Linked DNA regions of Drosophila melanogaster. The protein of the gene in region 1 interacts with the protein of each later gene in a biochemical or structural test. Each region holds a gene or a part of one and is shown on either strand. Other genes may lie near its edges.

Region 1 (7,744 bases):
CCAGGAGTTCGAGGAGCGCCGCAAGCGGGTCATCCTGCACTCGGTGCTCTTCTACTGACGACCGACGTCTGCTAACAGTTCGTGTCCAGCTCCAGCACCAACACCAGACTCCCGTAGCCCCGACGCGCTCCAGCCGAGTCACTCGATCTTGTACCCCAGGGGCTGCGATCGCAGAGCATAGGACGTCGGGCATTGCGCGCAGCGCGTGCGGATCCTGGGTTCCGGATTGGTAGCCTAGCATATAAGAATACTGTAAATAGAGAGGGGCCATCGCTGCAGCGAAAGCACATCCAACAACGACCAGCACCCACACACTCGCATACTCCAAACACCTGATTCGTAATCCACATCAACACCACACATGCAAGCAACTGGCTAATGAATTGGAATATAACACACAACCAATGACGACCATTTCCACACGGCTGCCCCCCAAAACCCCTGTAGTAGTATGTGTACGTGTCCGTATTCCTTGTAATTTCGCCCGTCGACTGGGGGTCTTATCACAGGCTCTCGCTTCCCTCAGCTGGCGAAGGCGCCGACCATCTGACTCCGACCCGTTCTCCCGTTCGGCCGCTCTGCCGCTCTCTTCGCCCGGCTTTGAGTCCGATTCGGACTCAGATTCGGATTCGATTCACATAAAGTGAAATCTCGCATCGTGATTGTGTGAATGAGCATGCACGCCAGAGAGCCACACAGGGGCGGAACGGTCTGGGCCCTCGCGGGCAGGGGCCGCGTTTTTTAATTTTACACAGTTTTACCAATTGTTCAGACAGGGCAAACCCGACCGACCTTGGTTGGGGCTGTGCGTTTTAAACCAAAGGCAAAGGCCCGCAACGGGCGCTAGCTTGCAATAGAAAATAAACAACAGGGGAGTTGTGTTCACTAAGGATTGGAATAAAAGTGCACGCCAATTTATGCCGGTTTCTTGTTGACGGCCTGTGTCACATTTACCCTGCGACCTCAAACCTGCCTAGGTCTTCTCTTCGACGGAAATACCATTGATTACGTCTCATCCCACTGCTACCTCGGAGTTCACCTTGATCGGACGCTGAGTTGGAAAGCCCTTATCACGGCTCCTGGAAACTGAAAAAGCTGGACTGGGTTTTCCACTCAAGCAAACTCCATATGGCAACTAAGGCTCTCTTAATAAAAGCCATATCCAAGTGTGGGGAACAGAGTATTAGAGTAAGACAATCGGGAGCGGCACGACATGCATCTGGGCTACATGTGGTATGTGAGCAATAGAGTTATTGAAGGGGACTTAAAAGGTGTCCCATTGGGGTACCAAATAAACTTCCATAGCAGCCGATATGCCGACAGACTTAGCGCCCACTTAAACACGTTAGCGAATGATCTTGTCGACCCTATTTCCCTCCGATGTCTGAAGAGAATACATCCCCATGAACTCCTTACACGTAATATAGCATAATCTCTCCTCGGTACATTTGTATACACTATAATTAAGGAACAGAATCCATAATATCTTTTAAGCTACACATTAGGTTAACTTCAGAAGGAACTGATCGATTCCTACTGACTAATGAATAATAATAAATGATTTAAACTCTAAAAAGAAATGTTGACGTTTGCTCGTTTTCACTGACCAAATACGACGTGATTCTAGGTAGGATTAGAAATTGTAAGGGTGTTGTTTAGTAATGTGGGAATCATAATTCTAGCATAATTTCATCATTAAACTCATCAACGCATCAGATCAATGCTCTCAGATTAAACAGTTTTATTTCCATGTTATACTATGATATCGTATTATTTGTATATTTATGTGTTATCCATCAATTCCATTCACATGTAAATCCAGATCGAATGGGCCCCCGCGCGCACTGAATCCGCTCCTGTCTGCGATCAGCTGCGCAGTCGGGGTTACAAAGCGTCTGCTGCTTTAGCTGTTGTTGCTGGTGTGTTGGTGTTGTTGCCATTGGCAGTGCTTGCTTGGGCGTTTGTTTGCTGCGGCGGTTCGCGCCGCGCTTCAGTCAGTCAGGGAACGATCGTGCTTATCTTCATTACTACTACCGCTTCCACCGAGGCTTCGCGACTCCGTACCCGTACTCGCTTTGTTTTACGTTTGCGCTACTAGTTAGTGAATCCGACGACGACGACCTGCGCGTGCGATTAAAGCGCCGCAACTCTTTGTAATTACACAGCCAGAGCCGCAGAGGTTGCTCAAAATCCAGCGACTGGAGAAATCGTATATCGAGTTGGAAATCCGAATCGAAAGGCTTGCGTATACATAGTTGTCACACTTTTGCTTTTAAACAGAAAAATCCATTCACATTCGGGTCAAGATGGCAACGCAAAAGGAAGGTGAGTATCGCAGCTTTGGGCAATTGGTATCGAATTGGATTCCACACCGCGTACTGTTACCAATTCGATTTTCGGGCGCGTACTTGCCGCGATCACTGTCGCGCCAGGTGGACTGGCTTTCCAATCGGAATCCGATTGCGAGTGCGAGAGCCAGTGCCAGTGCCAGTGCCCGTGCCAGTGCGCCCTTCAAATGTGCTCTTCGCCTGGCACTGGGGGTCACCTACAAAAAGCAGAGGACGCGGACTCGGCCGACTGTCTTCTTATCACAGGAGAGGCCACACCGCTGCTCCGCTCCCGCACCCGCACCGCTCTCTATCATACTTTCATACTTCCACTCTCCACTACCACTGGCCACTCTCCACCTGTCACTCTTACTCTCACTCCTCCACGCCTACTACTCACTCCCCCAACTACCCATCCAGCCGAGCGATGACGTGTGGGCGCCGCTCTTGGCCATCGGACGGGCTTGGATCCGAGCGGCCAGCTAAAACAAACACTCGCTGCGTGCTCCAAGATTAGAACCCGGCAATAGCAATAACCTTTGGCGGCAGCGCGAACTCTCCAGTCCCCAGTCCCCAATCTCCGTTCTCCACTCTGTGGCAATGACATTGGAACGCATGCATGTGTACATTCTACGCACGGTTAATTAGCTGCCCACCTGCGTTCTACACGAGAAGCCTTTCCAAACAGAAACCAAAAAAAAAAAAAAGAAAACAAAAACAACAGCGGACAACAAATGCAAACTCGCTTGGCGTTAATAATATTCAAACGCGTTACCTTGCTCACCGCCTATTACTTTCTCCCTTCTCCACTCGCCCTCTACATTCGGCTGCTCTCCATTCTCCAATCTCCATTCTCCTTGCCCCAATGCCTTCGCTTCGTCTGTGTCAATGTCAAATGCGATGCGGCCGAGATTACAGTCGAGCTTCGATAAGTGAAACCAAGCTGAGTCAAGCAAAAATGCGAAGACTTGAGCAAGCAAGGCAAAACAAACGGGAAATTAAGACATATGGCAAACTCAAAAAAAAGGTTAAAGTCATTTATGTTCCTGCTAGGCAAACACCACTGTCGGCTTGTGACTCACAATCTCGGCATTTGAAGGAGCTCGCTAGCCTCTTAGTCACCATCCATCCATCCACCAGCACCATCCAACTCACTGGCTGTGTAATCTTTCGAAGCTCCTACAGCCGAAAAGTATGCATTACCGGCGTTCGCAGAGATCGGCCTCGGAATTAGGGTTAAATTCCAGCTCAACTCATATCTTCGGAGAGCCCAGGTAGCCCGCCGTAGAATCACGTGATTCACCGAGACCCATCCACTTCGACATTTAAACGACTCACAATGATTCTCAAAAACGAACGCAGTGCCCCATGATGTTTCCAGAAGCTCATATTATCGAAATCTATATTTTATGACACCGTGACAGTGCCTGCATTAGTGGCTCGCAACCCTTTTTAAACGACACACAATGATTCTCAAAAACGAACGCAGTGCCCCTCCTCCATTCATTTTCCAAAAGCTCATTATATCGAAATCTATGTTATGACACCGCGACAGTGCCTCCATTATTGGCTCACAACCTTTTTGAAACATTTTCCGAATGATTTTCCTATGACCTCTAAGATACGAACGTGCACACATTCAAAATCGGGGAGCTTTAGGTTTTCAAGATTTTGAGATTTTTGAACTTTTGAAAAAGTCTATCTACATACTCGTAGTTATTTTTAGAGATATACTACAGAGGTTTACTAAAGGCTAGTTACTAGTTTGCAAGAACAGTATCCCTAGTAGATCACATAGCAGCAGATCAAGTATATATCATCCATTAAGCATACAACACTGTAATCTCTTCCGATCTGTGCGGGAAGTGATGCCATCGTGGGTTCATCTGATCATCCGACCGATCGCATTCCCGCCACGCGATCGACTGATGCTGCCCGTTCCGAAGCCAAGTTTGGATATACGGTGAATAGTGATGTATGTACATACATACGTCCGGAGCACTTGGCTTGCACTTTGTGCCCAAGTTCGCCTCGCCGTCGACGTCGCTGCCGGGTTCATCGCTTACACCTTGTTAAAGTCGACCGCAGCGCGGCGATTTATTCGTTTTGTGCAACCGCATCGGAAGATACGCGCGTGCACCTGCTCCACCTTTTACACCTGGCCAAGCTTCCGCCACCTAACCCAGTTCCACCTGGCCCAGCCCACAGCTATCCGGGCATCAATTAGCGCCCGCTGCGGAGGTTGACCTCTGGCGGATTCTTTGGCCAGTCATCGGGATCGAATCGAATCGAATCGAATCGAATCGGATCGGATCGGATCGGAGTTGATTAGACAACGGACCCCGGTCTTATCGAGTGCTTATCGCTCCCCCTTCCCTTGACATTGAATAGGCCTTCAAATAGTCTGCATTCGGGCCCAGACCATCAGTTGCCTCCAGGCCCTCGGTGAGTCCTCACGCAGCTCATTCTGACCAACCAATCACCAACCATACGGAGTCGATGAGTCCCCCGGTGATCTATGCAAGCCAAAGGGCAAGGTCACTGAAAATTCCCGCACATCCTAAAGCTGATAGCATTTTTTTTGTTTTTCTCACTGTGCAACTAACAACTAAGAAGTAGAGAACCCCTATACCATTCTCACTTTATAGTTTAGCAGTAAAAGCAATGCATTTAAGGAAGCTATAACTATTTCTAGTTCATTTAGTTCCCTTTGATAAAGTTTTGACAGTTGAAAAAAGTTACTTAGTGAAAAAAACAAGTAGAAATTCCTGGATATCCACAGAGCCACAGAGTAATAGTCTTAAGTGGAATTCAAAGCCAGAGTAAGCCTAACCAGATCCGCCTTTCATATGTGCCCACAGATCACACCGCCCTGGATCTCATAATCAAGTCACTCAAGTCGCCTACAATGGTCTGCGAGGGAACCCACTTTGACGGCAAGATTCCGCACACGTTCGTCATCTTTGGGGCGTCGGGCGATCTGGCCAAGAAGAAGATCTACCCCACGCTCTGGTGGCTCTACCGCGATGACCTGCTGCCCAAGCCGACCAAGTTCTGCGGCTATGCCCGTTCCATGCTGACCGTCGATAGCATCAAGGAGCAGTGTCTGCCGTACATGAAGGTGCGTTCGGGATTTGGTCATAGGCCATTTGCATCGCATTAACCCAACCCATTGCCACACAGGTCCAGCCGCACGAGCAGAAGAAGTACGAGGAGTTCTGGGCCCTCAATGAGTACGTGTCCGGCAGATATGACGGACGCACTGGCTTCGAGCTGCTTAACCAGCAGCTGGAGATTATGGAGAACAAGAACAAGGCCAACCGCATCTTCTATCTGGCCCTGCCGCCCAGCGTCTTCGAGGAGGTGACTGTCAACATCAAGCAGATCTGCATGTCGGTCTGGTGAGTATAAGATCAAGATCAAGATCCAGATGCATTTAATTTGAAACCCGATACTTATGTACACCTATAACCCGTTCGCTTGCAGCGGTTGGAACCGCGTGATTATCGAGAAGCCTTTCGGCCGGGATGACGCCTCCTCGCAGGCGCTGAGCGACCATCTGGCCGGTCTGTTCCAGGAGGATCAGCTGTACCGCATCGATCACTACCTGGGCAAGGAGATGGTGCAGAACCTGATGACCATACGCTTCGGCAACAAGATCCTCAGCTCGACGTGGAACCGCGAGAACATCGCCTCCGTGCTGATCACGTTCAAGGAGCCCTTCGGCACGCAGGGTCGTGGCGGCTACTTCGACGAGTTCGGCATCATACGCGACGTGATGCAGAACCATCTGCTGCAGATCCTCTCGCTGGTGGCCATGGAGAAGCCGGTGAGCTGCCACCCGGACGACATTCGTGACGAGAAGGTCAAGGTGCTGAAGAGCATCGAGGCCCTGACGCTGGATGACATGGTGCTGGGCCAGTACCTGGGCAATCCGCAGGGTACAAACGATGATGCGCGCACGGGCTACGTGGAGGACCCCACCGTTAGCAACGATTCGAACACGCCCACCTACGCCCTCGGCGTGCTCAAGATCAACAACGAGCGCTGGCAGGGAGTGCCCTTCATCCTGCGCTGCGGCAAGGCGCTGAACGAGCGCAAGGCGGAGGTGCGTATCCAGTACCAGGACGTGCCCGGCGACATCTTCGAGGGCAATACGAAGCGCAACGAGCTGGTCATCCGCGTCCAGCCGGGCGAGGCCCTGTACTTTAAGATGATGACCAAGAGCCCCGGCATCACGTTCGACATCGAGGAGACGGAGCTGGACCTCACCTACGAGCACCGCTACAAGGACTCCTACCTGCCGGACGCGTACGAGCGTCTCATCCTCGACGTCTTCTGCGGCTCCCAGATGCACTTCGTCCGCTCGGACGAGCTGCGCGAGGCGTGGCGCATATTTACGCCCATTCTGCACCAGATCGAGAAGGAGCACATTCGGCCAATCACCTACCAGTACGGATCGCGCGGTCCCAAGGAGGCGGACCGCAAGTGCGAGGAGAACAATTTCAAGTACTCCGGCTCCTACAAGTGGCACGGCGGCAAGGCGGCCACGTCCAATCACTGAGCGTTTGGAGCACACCAATCCCCGGGCTGGGTTCGCAGGATACTCCTCTCTGTCCGCACGTACATGTACATACATACATATATATGTATATATACATATATGCATTCTTTGGTTATTTGTAATTCGGTCTGTACAAGATTTTTTTTTATTAAATATACAAAATAGTGTTTAGCTGGAGCAGAACGATCTTCTAACTCATAATCCCGGCTAGTTCGATGTGTATGTGGTGATGCCGATCGCATGCGTGTCGATGTACATAAATAGATCCTTCATAGGATGGCAGATGGGTGGCAAACGTAACCCTACGGTTGTAATACTAACTAAATAATGAGTATGCTTCTGGTCAGTGGGCTTCGGTGCTGAGCCGGGCTAGTTACTAGCGGCTCCTCTCGAATATAGATTTACAGGCGAACTACAACAAGAGCGGGCAGCAATCTTCCCGAGAGATTTCAGCGCACGGGTGGCGGCTTGATGTACCCATCGCCGCAGGGCGCGCCTATTGCGCTCATGGACACATACTGATTGGTTACGTACGCATCGGCCTGGGGCACGGGCTGTGGTCTGGGCACCTCCTGCAGCTCTATCTCCGGCCACCTCGTGGGCTCCTCTTCCGCAAATGTCACGGTTTTGCGCACTGTGCCGTAGAACTTCTCCGGCGGAACATTGGCGGGATAGAACAGGCGTACATCGCCAAGTGGATTTGCTGTGGGCTCTTCGCTCATCACTGGCAGTTCAACCCGGATGTCCGCCATTTGGCGCAGCTTCTGAATGGCCAAGACGAGCGACCCAAGCACCAGCAGAGCGATGGTGCCCTCCACGTACCGCAAGATCTTTGGCTTCTCGGGCACCTCGC
Region 2 (5,063 bases), on another chromosome or scaffold:
GACTAACTGCACCCGGATAGTTGAACAAATTTCCTTGATTCAACTGAAGATGTTGCTGCTGCGACGCGGATGCAACTCCCACTGCTGGAACACCACCGTAGCCTTGATTTTGACAAGCAGCTAAGATGCAACCGGGTGTCAGCAGAGCTGCCTTAGAAACACTTCGACTTGGATAGGATCCATTGCTGGCGTTTTGATAGCCCCTTTGAAATTGCATTTGAGGATGCTGCTGCAGTCCGTAGTTTGGTATGAAGCTCTGAATCGAAGCGCTTTTTCGCTGGGATTTCATTAGCTGCCCTCGCAAACGACTCAATTTCCGGCTACTGACTTCCGGCGGAGCTAAAACCGCCATTCGCGGCATGGCGCCACCAAATTTGTTGCACACGGAATGCCAATATTCTGGCATAGCGGCAACTAATGGAGCTCGGGCGAATTGCTGCTGCTGCCACAGCTGCTGATAGGCATTCATCGAAGCCTGCTTGGCCGAATTAGTCAGTACCCTTCTCCGAACCATGCTGGATTTAATGGATTCTTATTGATTCGCTTGAGGTTTTGTTCTTCAACTGCTGACTCTGAAAGTTTCTGCTGGCTTGCTTTGCCGTTGAATAGTTTTTTTTTCTGGTTTAATTGGGGCTTGTGGGTTCATTGAAAATTTTGGATGCACTTTTGGTGCCATATCTGTTATTGGAAAAACCCTGACAATTGGTAAACGGCCTGCTATGAAATGTTTGTTTATAAGGCTATAGAACTGCAATATTTTGTTCATTCTTGTGATAAACAACATATTTTTATCAAAAAAAAAAAAAAAATTTATTTGTCCATTCAAGTAATATAAAACTTTCAATCTTAAATGTATTTTCAAAATATGGTTTTCAAATTAATTTAAATCGTTTAAATTCTGTCTTATATATATTCCTTAGTTTCTCGCAGTGGTGCACAAACTTTGAAATGACGTCACGCGACTCCTGGTGCGTAACTCATTTGGTCCTCTCGCTCATTCTTACTCTCTCTCTCTCTCCACCTACGCAATTTCCGTTTTAGTGGTGTAGTGAAATTCCCGGCTCCATTTTCATTCAGGTGGCTGCTGGTGGAAAGTTGAATCAACGGCCAGCTGGAAGGCATTCATTCATGGACGGGGTCCTTCCAAGATGCCACTTGGTTTCGTGCGTATTCCAAGCTGCGCAGGAAGTAGAAATTTCCGTTACAAAAGCAAGCGTCGAAAAGGACTTTCATGAACAGACAATCAAATAAACTCATTTCATTTACAAGTTTCAAGTGAACATAATCCAGTTTTCAGATTGTTCTATATTTTCCATAGATTTTTTAAGTTTTATTTCTCAAGAAAAATGGTCTCCTTTGGCGGTGTGGCAAAACTATTGAGCAGCTTCGAGTGCTGTGCCAGTTCGTGGGTCAAAGCCGTAAATCCCGGATGGTACGAGGCTCGTGAGATTCCGAAGACCATCCTGATCCAGAAAGTGCGACAGGTGCCCCAGAATACCAGGGTGATACGCCAGAGACCCCAAACCGCGGAGCCGCCCAAAAAATCCTCCAGCCAAAAGCGCCAACTTTATCTCTAAGCTCCAAAAAGTTGGGGAAATAATGACTCATTGGTTAGTATTTTACTAAAGCAATTGCTCTGATTCTTACCATATACTCTTTGATGGACGCCTGAAAGTATGCAGAGAAATCCAACCTTTTGTTAAGACTTTAAGCCTTGTAAATTGATGCAGAGAGGACTTCAAAATCTTACAAGCTATTAACTTTTATTTTATTACTATAAATTTAATGTTTTGTTTCTTTGTTTGCTTCCAGGCTAAACATTGTTTATATATTTTCAACAAGTCTAAAGCACACATATAATTTTCATTTACAGATTTAAGTGTTTTAATCGAATGTACATTGTATTGGTAAATATGTAACGAATTTAAATCTGCATTTAGTGTTGGCTAATATCCGCTTTCTTCCACAGAGTTGTCTCGCAGTCGTCATCGATTTCGTCATTTTGTCTGCTTCGCTACACGGCCACACTGAGTCGGTGCCGAGTTTTTGCTTCGCGAGCAGGTGGTGTTGTCCAATCAGAATCGCCGTAGACGGCACGAATAACAGAAAAAAATTCCAATAGAACAGCCGAGGGCGATTATTTATGTGTGTTCATGTTAAATGTTAAATGCAAAATTACGCGTCGCACGCTGCGCCCACGCGATTTCGAATCCGCATCCGATTGTTCAGTGCAAACACACACACACCAACCAAGTGAATATAATATGTAAGCGAAAGGCAAGAAGCCAGCAACAAAGCGCCAGTGATAAGCGCAATAATATAAATGCAATATAGTATAAATTCAACGTGAAAAGAAATCTCGCCAGCGAAATACAAAAAAAAGCGGAGGAAGCGACAAATGGAAATCAAGTAAAATGAAGAAGAGCGGAGAGATAGAAATCGTAATGTGTAAGCGCGACCAGAGCGTATGAAAAAATCGAAAAAAAAAAACGGTGGAGCGAAGATTAAATAAATTTACAAGTGTGTTTTGTATTTGACCAGCTTTTGTGAGTGTTGTTATTGTTGTTTTTGCGGAGGCTGAAAGAAAAGCGGAATAACAACAACACAGCAGCAGCAGCGCTGTTGCATGTGTGTGTGTGGTGAGCAACTATTTCCAGTGATGAGCGCGTGACACGATATGCGCTTCCACCAGTTCACAGCATAGAGTGCAATAAAAGAGCTCGTGACCCACGCGGCCATCTCGAATGGCCACCGAGATGCGGAAGCTAAAAACATATTCATGAATGGCAATTATGTGACGTGCGCTGCGGCAAGTTTTACCTTCGATTCCGAGCCGTGGAAAAAGGAAAACAAAAAAAATGCGCGTACGATTTTCCACTTTGGAAGTCGTGACGTTTTCCCATACATAACGGTGTGAGCGTGTACGAGTGTGTGTGTGGTTGTATGTTTGCGGTGGGGGCTCTCTGTCTCTCTCACTCGTTCGCTTTTATACGCATGTGTGTGTGTGCGTGCGTACGTCATTGCAACTCCGGTAAAACGCAAATAAGGGGCAGCGAAAAGCCAATTGCCGTTGAGTGGTCTAATTGGACACCTTGCGTATGCATTGTTTGTACTATTTACCATTTGGCGACCCGTTATCAATTGCAGGTGCTTTCTCCTGTAAACAGTGTGTGGTGTGTGTGAGTGCGTGCGACCTCGACAAGTTCTTTTTCATTCTTTTGTCGTCACACATATGCAATTGCACGGGAATAAAAGAAGTGTAGTGATCTTGAATAAAATCTTGTTTCATTAACTACAACACTGAAAGTCGAAATGGACATTCCTAAAATGAATTGATAGCTATTTTTGTATGGATTGAGCAAAAGCGAAAAGCCCAAATTCGTTTTGCTCAATCTTTACTGTTTTTTTAAAATTACTACTGAGAAGCAAAGAGTACGTTCTCATTATGTTTTGAATTTTAAATGAGTTTTGAGATTTTTTTTATCTCTAAAGCAAATATGTCACTGCGAATTAACCCAAGAAACCTTAAAAATGTTTTTATAAATGTTTTAAAATATATTTAAAAATCTGTAAAAATAACGTTCAATAGTATTTCTTTCAGTTTAGTTGGCTATTTCTTGGAGTTACAAAAATTATTTTGAAATTCATAGCACAGATCACATTTTCTCTTTGTGTATGCCCCAGTAATTGTAATTTTCATACGGGTTGCGGTAGTTTTCCTGTAAAATTCCTTGACTCCTTGGAGTCCCAAGCCCCCAAACACATACACAAGCTGTTGCTGCGCCCCCGCTCACGCACACATGCAAATGGGCGCCCTGCTGATAGTGCCTTCTCCCTCTTAGCTTTGTCAGTCGATGGAGAACCCACGATTGTCTCTCTTCTCGCATATTTGCTTTGCTCCGTCGCCCTATCCCTTTTTCTCTGCCCACTACCCACCGTTCGCCACCCCCACTCCCACTCGCCCCCTCTCTTTCCGTCTGCTTTTCTGTCTGGCTTTGGATGCTGTGTAAGTCCAAGTTCTCTAGTTGTTGTTGCTGCTGCTTTTGGTTTTTCGGCTCTCTTTTGCTTTCGGCTTGTTGCCTCATTTATTTTACTTGTCGTTTCTTTTTTGCCTTTCGCTTGCTGTTGTTTTTATTTTTTTAATCATTTTTGTCTCTCCGATTTGGTAAAAAAGAGTCAAAACAACTGCTAGTTATCAGCAAAATTGGCCAGATACGTTGAATACCCAACTCTTGCTTCAAAAGCAGTTTTAAAAGCGTTTTTTTCAAGTAGTAGGCACTTTTATGCTACTAAATGTTAAGGTTCTCTATGTTTATTTAAGGATATATTTACTGTAGCAGTTTAAAATCGGATAGTTCAAAGATTTACATATGTATAGGTTCAAATCACACTTTGCTTCAAATCAGTCTTTTGTATAATTCAATACTTTTTAACTTCCATTCAGCGAATTAAAGCTAGACTTTAATAATGATTCAATAAATTATTTAAATTATTTATAGTTTAAAAAAAATAATGAATAGAGTAACTCCTCTTTGAGTACACCGTGCGATACATATATAGTGGATTTTTAGCACCTTTGACCCGGTGACGTCTTTTACATCCCCACCACATAGTGCTGCGTGCTCTGTTTCCCTCTTACAGTCGCTCCCTCTCGCTCTGCGCTGGAAGTGTGTGTGGCTGGCTGGAAGCGAGGTCGCAGCCTCCCCGGCTTCAGTTAGCCGGAGAAGTATCTTCCAGGTTGGAAGTTCATTCAGTTTTGACTTTTGACTCCGTCCGCTTCGTACTTCGCGTGGTTCGGTCTGCGGTATGCCATTCGCTTGCTAATTCCACAAAAATTCTACAACTGTTTTGTGTCTTTCCACTGATAAATGCAAATAAACAATAGGAAAGCGTACGCGAAAACCTTTCAGAAATGTGAGAAAATCGGTGGATGTGAGAGGAAGCGAGAGGGTGAGGTGTCCAGCTGCCGCGGCTCTTTTCACACCCGCGAAATATCACGAGAAAGTTTTGGGGGAAAACAATTTGTTTGGATTATGCGAGTGTGTGGCGAGTGTTGGTTGGGT

What was found.
Region 2: of the proteins of Zw (region 1) and Sik3, one has a biochemical effect on the other in vitro, tested with the Drosophila melanogaster proteins (one study listed by BioGRID).

The regions. Positions count from the first base shown.
Region 1 is NC_004354.4:19,665,296-19,673,039, forward strand, and holds Zw (zwischenferment), read left to right. Parts: upstream 1-1,956; 5' UTR 1,957-2,306; coding exon 2,307-2,325; exon of another isoform or gene 2,326-2,451; intron 2,452-4,426; exon of another isoform or gene 4,427-4,772; intron 4,773-5,044; exon of another isoform or gene 5,045-5,118; intron 5,119-5,188; coding exon 5,189-5,448; intron 5,449-5,510; coding exon 5,511-5,728; intron 5,729-5,813; coding exon 5,814-6,891; 3' UTR 6,892-7,058; downstream 7,059-7,744. Other genes in the region: Ssu72 CTD phosphatase, read left to right, coding at 1-58; et (eye transformer), read right to left, coding at 7,341-7,744. UniProt on the Drosophila melanogaster protein: Cytosolic glucose-6-phosphate dehydrogenase that catalyzes the first and rate-limiting step of the oxidative branch within the pentose phosphate pathway/shunt, an alternative route to glycolysis for the dissimilation of carbohydrates and a major source of reducing power and metabolic intermediates for fatty acid and nucleic acid biosynthetic processes.
Region 2 is NT_033778.4:18,686,103-18,691,165, forward strand, and holds the start of Sik3 (Salt-inducible kinase 3), read left to right. Parts: upstream 1-2,029; 5' UTR 2,030-2,448; exon of another isoform or gene 2,449-2,546; intron 2,547-5,063. Other genes in the region: CG44433 (uncharacterized protein), read right to left, coding at 1-514; CG42855 (uncharacterized protein), read left to right, coding at 1,347-1,577.